Linked DNA regions of Arabidopsis thaliana. The protein of the gene in region 3 interacts with the protein of the main gene of each other region in a pairwise test. Each region holds a gene or a part of one and is shown on either strand. Other genes may lie near its edges.

Evidence for each region.
Region 1: the proteins of TCP9 (region 3) and PYL6 interact in binary tests that used the Arabidopsis thaliana proteins (3 or more experiments, as listed by UniProt).
Region 2: the proteins of TCP9 (region 3) and STY2 interact in binary tests that used the Arabidopsis thaliana proteins (3 or more experiments, as listed by UniProt).

What each region holds. Positions count from the first base shown.
Region 1 is NC_003071.7:16,842,860-16,848,038, forward strand, and holds PYL6 (PYR1-like 6), read right to left. Parts: upstream 3,336-5,179; 5' UTR 2,966-3,335; coding exon 2,318-2,965; 3' UTR 1,729-2,317; downstream 1-1,728. UniProt on the Arabidopsis thaliana protein: Receptor for abscisic acid (ABA) required for ABA-mediated responses such as stomatal closure and germination inhibition.
Region 2 is NC_003075.7:17,153,828-17,159,397, reverse strand, and holds STY2 (Lateral root primordium (LRP) protein-like protein), read left to right. Parts: upstream 1-1,752; 5' UTR 1,753-2,391; coding exon 2,392-2,956; intron 2,957-3,289; coding exon 3,290-3,693; 3' UTR 3,694-3,842; downstream 3,843-5,570.
Region 3 is NC_003071.7:18,818,908-18,825,333, reverse strand, and holds TCP9 (TCP family transcription factor), read left to right. Parts: upstream 1-3,444; 5' UTR 3,445-3,546; coding exon 3,547-4,617; 3' UTR 4,618-5,092; downstream 5,093-6,426. Other genes in the region: SSE1 (shrunken seed protein (SSE1)), read left to right, coding at 106-163, 454-673, 758-1,322, 1,397-1,464, 1,646-1,707, 1,808-1,869.

The sequences.
Region 1 (5,179 bases), 2.0 Mb from region 3:
ATATAGAAGATTTTTATCCGCGTTGATGTTTTCAACATTACACACCACTCACACCGAAATGCTTCCAAACCTAAAATCGTAGAAGTTAAAATCATGGACGAAAATATCTATCCCCAATAAACTTTAAGGAAGGAGGCGGTGTTCTTCACGTTACATTGAATTTGGTTTGCCTTTTTCAGACACACTCATATGTATATATTGGATAAATCATCTATTTACATTTTATAGCAAACTTTATATCTTATTCTAATTAGTTAAAGTGTTAGATAGCCCAGCTAAAGACTATATGAAAATACGAACTATCTCCGTTGCTTTTTAAAAGTAATGCATATTATATCACAGCTATGTACGTTATCACAATCTTTTATGCATGTTTATTTGGATTTGAATTATTAAGAAACTAGTTAAATAGTAGTAGTTTATATGCAACATGCCACATTGGAATATACAAACCCCATAAATCGTATCTCTCTGGATTGGTCAGAATTTTCATTTTTTTGACACGGGAATACATATGTTTTCATATGTAAATAAAAGGGAAAAAAATTTCTTATGGGTTTATAAAATTAAAAAAAATGTGAAATAAAATATAAGTAATATAATAATAGTGATCAGAAATAGGAAGACAGAAAAGAAAATAAGAAAGGTGGGTGGGTTTAAATGTCATTATACAAACGACCAAAAGAGGGAAAACATTAATAGCCTCCTTGCCAACTTGCATATCAACTTGCAATTCCTTCCTTCCACGACAATGTTTACATATATATTTCGTACTCATTATGATAATAAATTAATAATCATTTATGTAATCAATTTGATTTTTCTTTAACCTTTTTTTTATTTATGGAATATTTTTTAAAGGTGTCAAAGAATAGTAGCGACTTTTTTTTTTTTCCTTTGCAACTTGCATGCTTTGTTTTTTTTCTATAACAAGTTGGATTTTATTACACCCCAACTTGCATTTTACGTACGATCATATACATGAATGTCTATATATGTATTCAATTTTGAATTTGGTTCACAAGTCTCGAAATCTTACTACTTAATTATAAAGTAACTAAACACATTTTGCTTTTGCAAACTTTGAATGTCTTTTCATCTTGTTCATTGGATTCTTTATATTTATATAACTAGATAAAGTTATTTGATTTTTCAAATGTACATTTTTATTCATGAACTAATATATAGGACAAGGAAATCCGAAAAAGTAATAATTTTGACATTTGAATTATTGAAACGGTTCACGCATCCCAAAACTATAAAAGGAACTAAGAAATTTTATCATTTTGGTATGTAAATAATTTTGATTTATTTTTTTGGTGAGTAAAAACAAAACATTTACGTATTTATGTAAAGTTTGTTGATGAAATGACAAATAATTTGAAAATTTTACGTTTCCAAATTAGGGAATTAAAGATATAATGCTGTATTACCTGACACCATTTATTTTGGCCTAGCATTATATATGCCATAAAGAAAATTCTTAAGATTATATCACATAACTCAATACATGCATTACGCCTTGGTTCAAGTTTAATTATCACTAATTGATATTATTCCATCTTTGCTTTTAGGATTGAACGCTTTGATTATATAGCTGGTGAGCAAATTCATTTAAAACACCAAGTAGTATTCTACTGTTTATACATTTCAATAAAATTCAAATGATGTATAGTTTTACTTTGTTCTTCTCTTAACATAAAGGAAAACGAATCATCTCAATCAGCACATGTATGGGTTTTCTGATTGCCCACAATTGTTCAGATCTCTTCATATATAGTAGATATGCCAATGATTATATTAATCAAATTGTTTGTGTAATACATTATTATGTAGGTTATCAAAATTAATGAAATTAGACATAATAATATCGGAAATATCGTAACAATATACCCCATGCATTATAGCTGAATCACTATATAGTCTATATTGTTTCATGATTAACTAAATTAAAAGACAAATAATAAATATGTAAAATACGGCGCAAGAAGAAGATTATGAAAATAACTAAACAATCAATGTTTATATAATAAAGCTACGAGAGCTGTACAAGAAGAAATGGTTTTAAGGGTAAAACCAAAGTATCGTTGAGACATACATTTAACAGACCCTAAAAACCCTAACTTCGAAAAACCAAAACCATCTTGTTTGATATAATTCTTGTTTTTTGTTTTAGTTTCGAAAAATCCCCGACGATAGTTAAATACTTAAATCTTAAAATCCAAAACCACCTCGAGAATCCCAAAAATAAAAGATAAATTTTGAAAGAGAGAAATATAGAAAATAAAATAAAAATAAAAAGATTGAAAAAATGTAATTACGAGAATTTAGAAGTGTTCTCGGCGAGTTTAGCCAGCGATTGCAAGTTGCACCGTACTATAGTATCAGCAAAGCTACAAGTCTCTTCCTTATCGTTACCCGCCGGTACGTCAACGACGTATGACTCAACGACACGTGTCCTCTTCTTGCCGTCGGAGTCCTCCTCCGACTCATGCACCGTCGTCACCGACTTGTAGTTCATGAGTCTGTGGTCCCCACCAACGACGCTGAAACTGATGACGTGGCGATCATCGTCCATGATCTCAAGCCGCTCTAAGCTAAACGCCGCGGGGAGACCAGAGACGACTCTGACCTCTCTCACCGACCCAACCTCTCGACCGTCTCCGATAACCACGTGGCAGCTTTTCACGAAGTGTTTGTACGCTTGAGGGTGTTCGAAGCGGCTTAGGATCGACCAGACTGTGGAAACCGGAGCCTCCACGTCTTGTACCACGACGGAGAAGCACTGAGAAGGACCAACCACGTGCGTGTGGGAAAGCTCCACGTGCTCCGGCACATCAGCCATCCCGCGCGTGAGGCTCACTTTTTGAACCTGTTTCTGATGGTGGTGGGGATAGTTTCTTACGGTGGCGTTGGCTGCTTCTGCGGCGGTGGAGGATCTCTGAAACTGTATCGACGTTGGCATTATTAAAGCAAATCTTTTCTCTATATCTCTTTTAATATTCTTGGCTCTCTCTAAGAAAACAAATGGTTTTCTTCGTGAGGTTGTATTAATGAGAGATATTTACATGTAATATACAGAACTATATAAGGACAGAGTGTTTATATATAAAAATGCAAGTATGTGGATTAGGAAAGAGAGTTAGTTTGTGTGGGTTCTTCGGTTGTCCACTTGGGATTTGTTTGGAGTTTGTGTACTGCTTCAGTTAAGAAACGTCTCTCTCTTTCTTTATATCAAGGACCGGCCCGGTTTCCCATGAAATTCTACGGACTGGTTCTCGATATTTAATATAACCGGTTATTAAATTTTAATTTTGTTTTTCCTTGCTTTGTTACTGAGGCTGTCTATTTGTCAATGGTGCTATATATTTCACCAGTTTATTACAATGAATGAGCATGTTGTCGTAACCACACAAGCATTACTATAATTAGAATGGACGTTTTTATGTTTTAACCAAAAACACTCTTGAATGAAAGTTGAGAAAATGAAATCAATATCATTTAAGATACCGAGAAAAAAATTCTGAACTCATCTCTATCTCACCGATTATATCAATATTCAGAATATAAAAACATTGAACATTATCTTTGAGGTTTTGCATAGATATTTCAATCTTCTACTGTCTCGAGGCTATATATATAGCTAACTCTAAAACGTTATTAAAGATTATAAGAACATGATCACTATGTGTCGAGTTGGTTAAGCTATATATATTGGTTAAGAGCTATACTTAATTTATGCATAGGTTTGAAAAAATTCTTGAAACAAATTGGTTGGGAGGACCGACCTTTGTCTTTGTGATTGCCGATCTATTTTCAGTTGGTACTATTCTTGGATGCGTTTTTGGTGGATTTTTAATTTTGTTGGAACCTTCTGACTAAGGTAAAAATTTCAAAAATAACTCCATAGGACTTTCAATGTTCCAAGTTGGTGAAGATATCATGTCATGGGTCCATCATAATAATCTTTCCTCATCTTGTAATCAACTTGAGCCTTTCGACGATACTAAAAAAAGTATTAATCAAATTCCTTTTCAACAAAGAAAAGAACAGAATATTAATAAGACGAATTAGAAGAAAATCAAACTAAGCAGTTTGCTAAAAGTAACCAACGTAAAGTCAGGGAAATTTACGAATTGGACAATATTTCTTGGGTGTGTTTTCTTCCACAAACGTATATTCAAATCATATGAATATATTGGACTCTTGGATTTGAGTGGTGGGCATAATAACAAAACACAATTGGGAAAAATAATAAAGGGTTATCTAATGCATTAGTTTTTCCAACAACTATACATATTCCCAAGTAGCCCTAGTTGTTAAGATTAATACGAATAAGCGAGCAATTTGCAGTACTAATTATATCTGACATTTTATAGAATAAGAAGGACAAAAAGTTACAATTTGCTATTTTTTGCACCATCCTCGATATAAAGATTGCTCATCTTATAAGCTTTCGGGTTAGGTGACATAATCACTCACCAATATATTACTGAACACAAATAGATTACAAGTTGATGTGGAAAATGTATTAATATTACGGTGATACATTTTTGGGTTCAAAGAGTCAATCTCAAATCAATGCATCAGACGTATTTTGTTACAACAACATAATTTGTGCCAACTTTTTTTTTTGTCAAAACATGTATTATATATCCAAGATTTAAATTCCAATGGTGAGATAGTGACAAACATTAGTATAAACAACTCGACTCCATGTCATTATTATTTTTGTGCAAAAGCCGGTTGTTTGTTTGTTTGTGAATATTTCTCGAGAAATAAATCTCCAATATGCATAAAATATTATTCCACCTAAAATTATTAAATCCCCAACTATGATTATAAACAAAATGCACTTAAAATTTCAAAAATAAGTATCGAAAAAATCAAAGATAAGCTTAAATTTCGATAGATATTTGAATGAATCAGATTACAACGTGATATTAAGAGAAGATTATCGATCAAAAAGTAATTAAAAGGAGAAATTGTCCAAAATAGTTGCATCTCATTCTTGCGGAGAAGAGGACACATTGTCAAAGGGAACTTGTGGAGGTGCAATACCCACCAATTCATTGGATTTAATTAATTAACAGTTTGCCAACTTGATTTCTTCATTTTTCTAAAGGCTTAGAAGATCTTCAAGATTCGAGCAAGAAAAACGATTTTGGAGACCAGAATG
Region 2 (5,570 bases), on a different chromosome or scaffold from region 3:
GCAAACACGAACACACACAGGGCTCGAGAGACCTCTCGACATGTTTAAGGGACAGACAGCGAGCGACACTGAACGTCTTTTTCTCGGGCCTCTCCCACTTATCATTCCCTTCCCTGTCTCTTTTTTTTTTGTTTTTCTTATTTGTATAATAATCATTAGATTTTACAATTTTAAATAGCTTTTTCTTTCCAAAACCTTTGGACTGGACTAACCTGGATCGGTCCGATCTTGATAACGCCGGTTTTATAAAAATCTTAATATTTTTTAGGGTTTAAACTTAATTTGTACGATCATGGATGGATCATCATGTGGTACGAGTCCACTATTAATTCTTCTAAACACCTAAACAAAAACGATATACTTACATGATTGTTTCTGGTTGGATTCGTAGGTGGCATTGTGACTACACTCGTTCATCAATATGGGCCGATTTAAAAATGACTAGATTTTTTTTTTCTGGATCTTGAAAATCCAGACTAATCCAACAGGTTTTTGGTCTACCACAACATTTCAAACAAAGACTATTTATTAGAAACCATAAACCCGGAAAAACTACGAATACCAAATATTATTACAATAGTTTGCTTCGTCGTTTACGTGGAAATTTATATAATTCACAGTAAAAAGAAAGGAATACAAAAAAGTACACGTAGGTGGCGCAGTGTTCCCTTGTATAGCCACATAGAGTCCAAAGAGTAACATGCTTTTTTTTTTCATCTTTCCTTAGTTTTTTTTTTGTAAATATTTCTTTAATTATTCAAATCACTCGATAACGATATAAATATGATCATTTGCTACAATCAATAAAAAGAGAGCCTCTTTTTCACTGCCCCGAATCTCTCTGTTTTCATAACTACTCCATGGTGAATGATTTGATACACTATTGACTATAACTCTAATTCTTAATGATTTTATACACATGGATTTAAGTTATGATTTATAGAGGGTAACAAGCAGAATATTTGAATGTTTTTATTGCGGATATTTAAATATATAACTTACCGGAAAAAGTGGCAGTCTAAATTAGAAGAGCTTGTTAATTATGCATGTAAAATTAAATTTAAATATGGTTTAGTCATCCCTTTGTGGACACTATTGACGTTTTTCCAAAAATTTTCTTTTCACTTGTAAGTTTTTTTATTTTAAGAATGGCTTGTTTTTTTTAACTATTTTTAAAACAATCTATTGTCTACTCAAATAGCATAAGCATCGATAAATATATATATATTTACATGTATGATAATGATATATGGAATATTTTATGAAGGAAAAAAAGAGTTGTTCTGATTGATCACAAGATTACTTACCTCAGAAAAAATCTAAATATGGCTTTACTTAATTAGGGTAAATGTTTGAATACGTAACATTAGACTTTCGAAACATATTAACCAAACAAATCGTTAAGAACGCTCTAATAAATTTGATCAAGATATAACCCTGAGGCAGCTAGATGAGCAATTACTATTGTTTGAGATTAAACAAAAAAAAGCTTAAGGACAAAGAAAAAGAAAAAAAGAAGAATTTAATTTTCTAATCGCGTAGGATTTCAAATTAACCTAAATTAAATACGGTTCATTAATACGTACGGACACATGAGCTAGCTTTTTTTTTTTGATAACCACGAAAAAAATATGTATGCTAACTTTCAAAGAAAAGAATTGAATTCATCCGTTTTAAGATAAAACAAGCTTAAGCACATTCGCCACTTGGCAAACTCTGGTCCATGGGATGAGAACAAGAAAGCTAGGACCGGTGGATCATTCCCCGTGGGTGTGAAACTCTGAGTCGGTAGAGAGAGAAAGAAGAGATAGCAGAGAGAGAAAGTCTTTGTTTAATCCTTTTTTTACTTTCATACGGACAGAACTAGAAGCGTTTTGTTCAGACAAAGCCGAAGTGAGAAGAGGAAAGAAAAGCTTTTCACTTTGGGTTTCATAGAATCTGCAAAAACCAAATCAGAGTAGTGGAGAGAGAGAGAGACTTAAATTCTAGGGATGAGCAGAGCAGAGGAGAGAGAAATCTAAAAACGCCCATGGCGGCGTTGCAGAAATTTATAGAGAAAAATAAAGATTCATAAATAAGTAGACAGCTTAAATTCTTCTTTCTTTCTTCTCTTCTGTTTCTTTTTCTTCTTCTTACTTTCTCTCACTTCAACTACTCACTACCAAGAAACACACTTTGTTCCAAGAGAGAGAGAGAAAGAGAGATCTTGTAGAACATTCGAATTTAGATTCGGAGAGCAGCAACAACACCCACAAGCTAAGGGAGTATAAGGCTGAATTTGAGTGAGAAGAAGAAGGAGAAAAAAGGATAAGGATTTCATGGTAATTAGGGTTTCTGAATTATGGATATAGTTGGGTCAAGATTAGGGTTTGAAGTTTTAGGTCTTAAAAAATGGCTGGGATATTCTCATTAGGAGGTAACAACAACAACAACGGAGACGAAGAAGAAGAAAATCAACAACAACAAAAGACAAATTGGGTTTGGTATAGATCAAACGCAAACACCAATAATATCAACCCAAGCTCGAGCCAACAAGTATGGCAGATTCCACCAGAGCAGATGCTCATGCATCATCATTCACATCCACAACAACAAAGCTTAGATCTTTATCCAGGTCATCAGATCGACGTCTCTGATTTAGCCACTTCATCAAGATCCATCACCATTAGCTGTCGGGACTGTGGGAACCAAGCCAAGAAAGACTGCACTCATATGCGTTGCAGGACTTGCTGTAAAAGCCGTGGATTCGATTGTTCCACTCACGTCAGGAGCACGTGGATCCCCGTTGCGAGGCGCCGCGAGAGACAACAGCAGCTTCATATGTCCACATCTGGAGGTGGCGGCGGAAGCGGTAGTGGCGGTGCTGGAGGAGGCGGTTCGAGTATCCCAAAACGCCATAGGGACCCTACTCTTCCAGGAACATCCTCCTCTTCTCGCTTGCCATCCCACTCAGCAGGTTTTTTTTTTTTATGTCTTTATAAACAATTTGATATCCAGACAACTTCATATATTCGAACCATATGTTTTTGTTAGAAGAAACACGAATTTTTCAACACAAAAATATATGTGAGTTTAATTTTCCTTTCACTACTTGCACAAATTTTGTTTACTTTAAAAATACAACATTCTATATTTATTTTTAATCAAATTTCAGTGTGAAAAAATGTTTGATAAAAAACATTTAAATGTTGTGTTCTGTTTTGAAGTGAAACATAACATTAAAACATAAACGTAATCTTGTGTTTATGGACGTTGATTAATGTGTATAATTGTGTATATATGTTTTTAGGGTTAGAAATGGGGGAGGCAAGTTTTCCGGGGGAAGTGAGCTCAGATGCGCTTTTTCGGTGTGTTAAAATGAGTGGCGTAGATGATGGAGGAGATGGTCAGTACGCTTATCAAACGACGGTCAATATTGGAGGTCATCTCTTCAAAGGAATTCTGTATGACCAAGGCCCTGAAAGCAGCTACATGAGTGGCGGTAGTGGCGGAAGCGATCATCAGAGCTCATCCGCAGGAGGCGGAGGAGGAGGACATCCGTTTAATCCTCCAGTTGTGACCGACGGTGGCGGAGGAGTATCATCGGCCATGTTTGTAGATCCAAATTCTGGTGGTTACTATTCAAGTAACATGACGACTAGTGTGTTCATGCCACCAGGTACGCAATTCTATCAAAATCCACCAAGATCTTGATTAAATCAAGAACTTGACTTTTTATTTTTGTTATATAGTGATTCTATATATGTAATGTGTCTTTTGTTTTGTTGCTCTGGTCAATCATATGTAATACTTAGACGATTTAAACATTTGTATGTCTGTTTGTTGTCATGTATAATGTATGTGTTAATTTAATATTTAAATTGTACGGTAATGAATCTTTATTATAAATTTTAGTATTTGTGGGTTTTATATAAACAAGTAAGTGTTTTTGGTTCTCGATACGTTTTTTTTCCATGTTTATGCCGATGTTGCCGGTTGCTTCTCCCATTGGATAAACTCAAGAAATTCTACGTTATAATAATAGGTAAACTATAATATTATCATAAGGTCTAGTGAAGCCTACATGATTTGATACTCAGAACAATATCTTCATATAGCATCAACATTTTATATTGTTACTGTAAAGTTAATCTATATAGATTTGAAGGTAAATTGATTAGCGTGAATTAAATAGTGACAACGACAGGAAAGCAAATGAGGGCAAAGTTGTTAAAAATATAAGTTACGAACTTACGATTATAGTATTGGTCCTATTGTTACACTCGTAGTGTTCTACTTCACAATGAATTGGTGTCTGAAGAATAAATGACGAATAAATATATGAAGCAACTCGTGGATTAATAATAGAATTCGTACGTTACTGCATCACGTGCCTATGGAAGAAAAAAACAATTAGTTTTAGAGCTTACTGTTATGTAAAATTAATTATTCGTAAGATTTACTCAAAAAATCTCCCAATAAAACCTTTCCTAGAGTTAATAAATGTTGATCATCTAGATAGATATGATCGTAGAACCTAATTAATTAGTATGTTTTCTCACGCAAGACCATCTAGATCATCATGGTTTTCTAATCCAATATTTTTGTTTGTTTTTGTTATGAGTAATCCAAGAAGACTTATCAAGTGTAAACTAAAAAGGTGCTCACTCAAAGGCTTGGAAAAAGTTTATCAGATTGATAGTACTTTTACTTACCTTATAAATATTATGGTGAATCGCATATATATGTAGGAAAACATTAAACACTAATCTTCTTTGTCACACCAGTTTAACGCCATTAATCTATGTGTGCAATTAATACCAAAGATTAGCATTTTGATAAATTTATCAGATAGTAATCATATTTCCTAGAGCCTAAATCGGTCGCAGTATGCGCATTAATATCAATTGATTATAAATGACTCACTCATAAAATATGTAAGCTTTTCTCGCTAATCTGCTTGCGCACATGTTCTCCACCCGGAATTTGGCAACCATAACAATGTGTAATTAGCTTACTTAATCCTAATTTCCGGGCAATTATACACTACTATGTAATATTATCCATATATGACTCGTTCACTTTGGTAAACCAAAAAATATTCAAGAAGGGGAAACAAAGAAACGATTAGATCACCTGAAGTTCACGTAGTTTAGCCTCTGGAACGTGCCTTGAATTGCAAGTCAAACATCCTCCTTTTTTTCAACTCTCCAAGGGTGAAGGACACAACTAAAAGAAATATGGTTTCTGGTTGGAATTGAGTTCAAGCAGGATACATAAACAAAGAGAAAGAGAGAGAGGGGGAGAGATGTAAAGATGAAATTAATAATGAGGAATGTTGCAGAGATTGGAGATAAAGAGGGGCAAAGTAAGGACGACGTACCCAAAAAACAACTAAATAAATAGATATAGGAAGAAAAAAAAAGAGAAGCTAGCTAGGGTTTTTGATAGAGCTTTAGTTAGGGTGGGGATGAAAGAAACTGGCTCAGTGATGCAGTAACCTATTATTGTGGTGTGTACCCATACTTTCAATCAGCTTTTCTTTTCTTTTTTTCTTTGGACGACAAGACACGCATACGTACACCTTTTAT
Region 3 (6,426 bases):
AAAACCCTTTGAAAAAATTTAAGAGTTGAATCAGTTCGATCTTTTAATTCGTAGTTGTGGAATTCATCAGCTGATAGTTCGTCAAATATGTTTGTTTTGTTGCAGGGATTGACATGGCTGCTTCCTGAGAAGTTTTCTGCTTCAGAGATTGGACCAGAAGCAGGTTTTGTGATACTTTGGTAACATTTTACTGCTTTCAATCTTAGAATAACTGTTTCCTTTATCCCTGTTAGCTCCTAAAGTCTCTTGTCTGAATAATGAACACTGTCCTATACTCAGTTTTATCGGTTCTTCTCAAATTACATACTTCACTTGTACCTCCTCACATGTTTCGTGTCCTAAGTCTTTAACATTAGAACCTTCAAGTTCCAAAGAATGTTTCTTTCTTTCTTCTTTTGTCAGTTTTGTGTTCATGGAAGTGTGATTGAAGTTTTTTGGTAATCTTCTTTGTAGTAACGGCTTTTTTGGGCATATTCTCAACGATAAATGAACACATAATTGAAAATGCTCCAACACCTCGTGGCCATGTTGGATCTTCCGGGAATGATCCATCCCTTTCTTATCCACTACTCATCGCCATCCTCAAGGATTTGGAAACTGTTGTGGAAGTGGCAGCTGAACACTTCTATGGAGACAAAAAATGGAACTACATTATTCTCACTGAAGCTATGAAGTAAGCTTGCTTTCTTCTGATCACTTGGATCTACACAACCTACTTAGTTGGCATTTTGATATCTTGAAAACTTTGAATTTTCAGGGCTGTCATTAGGTTAGCCTTGTTCCGGAATAGTGGGTATAAGATGCTTCTTCAAGGAGGGGAAACACCTAATGAGGAGAAAGATTCTAACCAATCCGAGTCGCAAAATAGAGCTGGTAATTCGGGTAGAAATCTCGGGCCTCATGGTCTTGGAAACCAAAATCATCATAATCCATGGAACTTGGAAGGACGGGCGATGTCTGCTTTAAGTTCATTTGGTCAGAATGCAAGAACAACAACATCTTCTACCCCCGGTTGGTCTCGAAGAATTCAACATCAGCAAGCAGTTATAGAGCCTCCAATGATCAAGGAGAGGCGAAGAACGATGTCCGAGCTACTTACTGAGAAGGGTGTTAATGGAGCGTTGTTTGCGATTGGTGAGGTTCTTTACATAACGAGACCGCTCATTTACGTTCTTTTCATCAGAAAATATGGAGTCCGATCTTGGATTCCTTGGGCTATATCGCTTTCTGTGGACACACTGGGGATGGGTCTTCTTGCAAATTCGAAGTGGTGGGGAGAGAAGAGCAAGCAAGTCCATTTCTCAGGACCTGAAAAGGATGAGGTTAGAAATCTCTTGGACCTCAATACAACAGTAATGTTGAACCGATTTAACTCATATTCTTGTTACTTCTTCAGCTGAGGAGACGAAAACTGATATGGGCATTGTACCTCATGAGAGATCCATTCTTCACCAAGTACACAAGGTGAGTGTTCTTATGGTTTCAATTATGGCATTTTCTGAAATGGGAAAAATTGAAACCGAAGTGGTTCATTTCCTCTTGGCTCTTATGTTAATATTAGATTTGGTATCCCTGGGTTTTAGGCTTAAAGCTTAAGCTATCGCGGGTTACTAATAAATCAAATATGCTTGTCTTGCAATTGCAGGCAGAAGCTGGAAAGCTCTCAAAAGAAGCTGGAACTAATTCCATTGATCGGATTCCTCACAGGTTTACTTTTTAAAGCTTTCATTTCATTCACGAGATCACTGATTGTCTTGTCTACTTGCCATCTACTGACCTTATTTTGGTTCTCTCATGGAAATTGCAGAGAAAATTGTGGAGCTTTTGGAGGGAGCTCAGTCACGGTACACTTACATATCGGGATCGTGAGGTTAAGCGTTTTACTTATGGTTTATATGCAACGGAAGAATATTGCCATTGTTGGAATGCTTTTTCAGATCATCAAAGGCTCCTACAGATTTCTTAGGGAATGGTTTCAGGCTTTTGTTAGAAATTGTGTTTATTGCAACAGGTAGAGAACATAACCATAGACAGATGTATCTGAAGAGATAAGCTTCTCTATGTCTAAAGAAATGGACCGATACGAATAAAACAAGCATCATTAAAGATTAAATGGTTTGTAAGAAATACTACACTTATTTATGTGAAATTGTGTGGTTAGTGAAAAGTAAAAACATCGGAATCCAAAACCTCAAATTTACCAATCAGCCCAAATTATTGATGCTGGCGTAATGAATGGTATGCTGATGGTAGGCAAAAGTTGGTGGCTGCGAAAATTACAACATTATCCCTCTGTGGTGGACCCGAATCTGTAATCGGAAAAGGTGGAACCCACTTGGTTTAACTTTTAAGCCTAAAAGGTTACTACCGGTTTGACCGGTTTATAATTTGGTGTTTAATTCTAATCCCGGATCCGTTTGTTTGTTAATCTCAAGGCCACGTTATCGCCAATATTTTGATTTTTGAGTGGGTAGGGAATGGTGGGGTCGAATAGTTGGGCCTAGCCCTCAACAATGTGTGGAACTGAAGAGAGTAGGGTCCAGCTCAGGCCCACATTCACATTTTCGTTTTGTAGCCTTTCTTTTCTGGTGCTTACGGTCCCTCTTTCTGGTCGGTCGTATGTACAAGTAGCATAGCTAGTGGTTCAAACCCGAAACAAGTACCAACGAATCAAAATAAGTTTGAATCGGTTACATCTAGTTACCGTCGAACTTACAATCATTTCGATTACTTTGATCTGATTTCTAGTTCGGTTTGTATGTTTAATATCCGGATTGTACAAGTACACAAGTACATAAGTATGCGTATATGTATGTGACCGGTTTAATCAAAGGACGGACGATAGGAGGATTTTGGAATCCTGGAAAGAGGATTATTCCATAGACACTAATTAGCTTTTTGGTGGCGCAGCCTTGTGACCTACATTAATGGGGTCCAACCCCAAGTATGGGCTTACAGCTTTTTCCATAAAATTAAAGTAAATCTTTTTTTGCCTAACCAATAAAAATTATTGAAAATCTTTCCAACCATAGAAAAGTTAAATTTGATCAGCGATGGAAATTTTTGTACAAAGCTAGGTATTTCATTTGGGAGTGTACTAGTAACTAGTAAGTACTAACCAGAATGAGTTTCTGATTTTGGATTTTGAAGCTTTTCTTAGGTTAAAAAACAAGTATATTACTAAACAATAAAAGAAAAACATTTTGTGAAAAGAGAAATAAAGTTTACTGGACCCCATTGTACAGATGGTCCCATAATAATACTGATAGAAGATAGAGCAATGGAAAGTGATTTGTTCACGTGGTACAATCGGAATGGTTCTTTAAAGCTCATCGAACACATCAGGACCGTTGATTTTTCCCGCATCAAAAAGCGTTGAATACTATTCTCACTTGTTTTCCTGCTCCTATATATATATCCTGACGAGTCACATTTAGTAATCTCCTTGGACGTGTAACGCCGTTAAAACGATTCTTTCCCATTGTATCCGCTTTTAACAACTCTCGTCGTCATCTCCACCGTCCGTTTTCTCTCAGCTATATTTTAATGGCGACAATTCAGAAGCTTGAAGAAGTTGCAGGCAAAGATCAAACTCTAAGAGCCGTTGATCTAACCATCATCAACGGCGTCAGAAACGTCGAAACTTCAAGACCTTTCCAAGTAAATCCCACAGTGAGTCTCGAGCCCAAGGCGGAGCCGGTGATGCCGTCGTTTTCAATGTCTTTAGCTCCACCGTCTTCGACAGGACCACCATTGAAGAGAGCTTCGACTAAAGACCGTCACACGAAGGTTGAAGGAAGAGGGAGAAGGATACGGATGCCTGCCACGTGTGCGGCTAGGATTTTTCAATTAACTCGAGAGTTAGGTCACAAATCCGACGGCGAAACGATTCGGTGGTTGTTGGAGAACGCTGAGCCGGCGATTATAGCCGCCACGGGTACGGGAACGGTTCCCGCCATCGCCATGTCGGTTAACGGAACCTTAAAAATCCCGACGACGACGAACGCTGATTCTGATATGGGTGAAAATCTGATGAAGAAGAAACGTAAACGACCTTCTAACAGTGAGTATATAGACATAAGCGACGCCGTTTCAGCTTCCTCCGGTTTAGCTCCAATTGCCACGACGACAACGATCCAACCTCCGCAAGCTCTGGCATCATCCACTGTGGCTCAGCAACTTCTGCCGCAAGGAATGTATCCGATGTGGGCTATTCCATCAAACGCAATGATTCCGACGGTCGGAGCTTTCTTCTTGATTCCACAAATCGCTGGTCCGTCGAATCAGCCTCAGTTATTAGCTTTTCCCGCCGCCGCTGCTTCGCCGTCGTCTTACGTCGCCGCTGTTCAACAGGCTTCCACGATGGCTAGACCACCTCCTTTACAAGTTGTTCCAAGCAGCGGCTTTGTATCCGTTTCAGACGTTAGCGGTTCGAATTTATCAAGAGCGACGTCGGTTATGGCTCCGAGCTCAAGCTCAGGCGTAACAACCGGTAGTTCATCGTCAATTGCAACAACAACGACGCACACGCTGAGAGACTTCTCCCTAGAGATATACGAGAAACAAGAGCTTCACCAGTTCATGAGCACCACAACAGCACGGTCATCGAACCACTGAAGAAAAGAAAGGAAACGGCGGCGTATTAGTGATCGGAAAAAAAGCACGTGTGCACATGAAGAAGTGCACGTGTTAAGAAGTGGGCCTCGATTTTAGGCAGAAGTGGGTCAACACGCACCAAAAAGAGAGTGGAGGGAGGAGGAGAGGGGCCACACGGCTCCCACCTTACGCATAGCTTCCGAGGCAGCCAGGTTGGGTGTGGTCCCCAAATGGTTAGAGCTACGTGGTCCGTATGAGTAGGACCAGCTTAAGCTTAAGCATAATTCGAAACGTTTCGTTTTTTTGGTGGGGGCTCACCACTTTGTCTTGACTTTTTTGGTCTTTGTAATTTTACAAAATAAGATTTATTGAAGCCCTCTCTAAGTCATGGTCCACTCAACAACAATTGTGATATTGATGTTTTGATTTTATTAAAATCTGTAACAAAATAAATATTTCTATCTAAAATGAAAATACTAATGTTGTTTTCCTAAAATTGTTGTAGCATTACTTTTCAAATGATTCCATTTTCTTACAAGTGTTACAAAAGCTTTTTGCGAAAAAAGTCTCGTCCGTGTTATTGGCGGGGCCTAGTAAGCTTGATTGTACCACTAATACGGCGTTGTTTCGTGGGGCCTGAAAGCTTCCCACTCAAGGGACGCCTAGTTGGGTCAGCACCACCAGTTTAACGCTAAGGAAATAAAGGAACAGCCTGGCGTGGGTCATACTTGTGTCTATCTAATCTTTACCGTTCAATTCCATCGTCTTGTCCTAACCGTTGATTCTATTTCGTTCGTTGTTTAATTAGTACTAGTAGTAGTAGATATTTTCTTCTTGTCTACGGTCTCAACGCCAGACAGGATTTACTATAAGATAACTTTGTTTATGTTTGATTTATAATTCAAGTGTGGTTGGTTAAAGTTAAACCATGGTTCTCCGTTTCACACCGTTGATTATATATTTTTTTAAGATATGTAGGAAGTAAAACTTTAAAAGGTTAAACACAAGGTAAAATGTATTATTGGAGGCCTAAACCAACTTGGTGGCCGTGGATGGGGAAAAAAGGTCCAGAAGTGTTGGCTATAGGATTCCTCGTGGACTTAGAGAAATGACTTGTCGTTCTCTTCTTTTATTTCAGTGGACCTCATTAATTTTTATATATAGTTGGCCTATAAATTTATAAATGTTCCTTTATTTTTCTTAAAAAACAAAAAGGTTTTAAATCAAACAGCGGGAAACCAGCCCAATGCTTTTTTAATTTCTTGATTAAGCCCAAAAAAGGGAAAAAGTTGTATGGGCTTACATAACATTTAGGACTAAGGCCCATTATTTTGCGAACAACACAAAATTGCTTACATAACAATTGCTACGATTCATGTTGCAGAAGAACACCGTTTTTGTTTTTGTTTCTTAGCCTTAATTTAATTGTTTGTATTCAATTGTTTTTATCATTTAGAATTTTGCTTCGTCCTTGTCGAAATCCTCTCTTATGTTCTTGGGTTCTTATGTACTTATTCTTTTCTTTCTTGTTCGTTCTTTTTTCAAGTTATGTGAAGTAATATTTGTCAATGATTTCAAAGTAAGTTGTTAAAGGCTCAAGAAACCAAATCGTTATCTATTATGTCACTAATAAAATTCTACTAAATATATATAATTCTTCTCCTTTTTTTACTTGCCGATAATTGTATCCTATTTACAATGAAATAACGCAAAAGACTTGGCGTATTATCTTTTGACACACGTTTCAAGTCAACGATTTCGACATCTGCTTTATTCTATTGGTATGTCGACCAAGATGTCAATGAAGGGGTGGACAACGATTTACTGTTT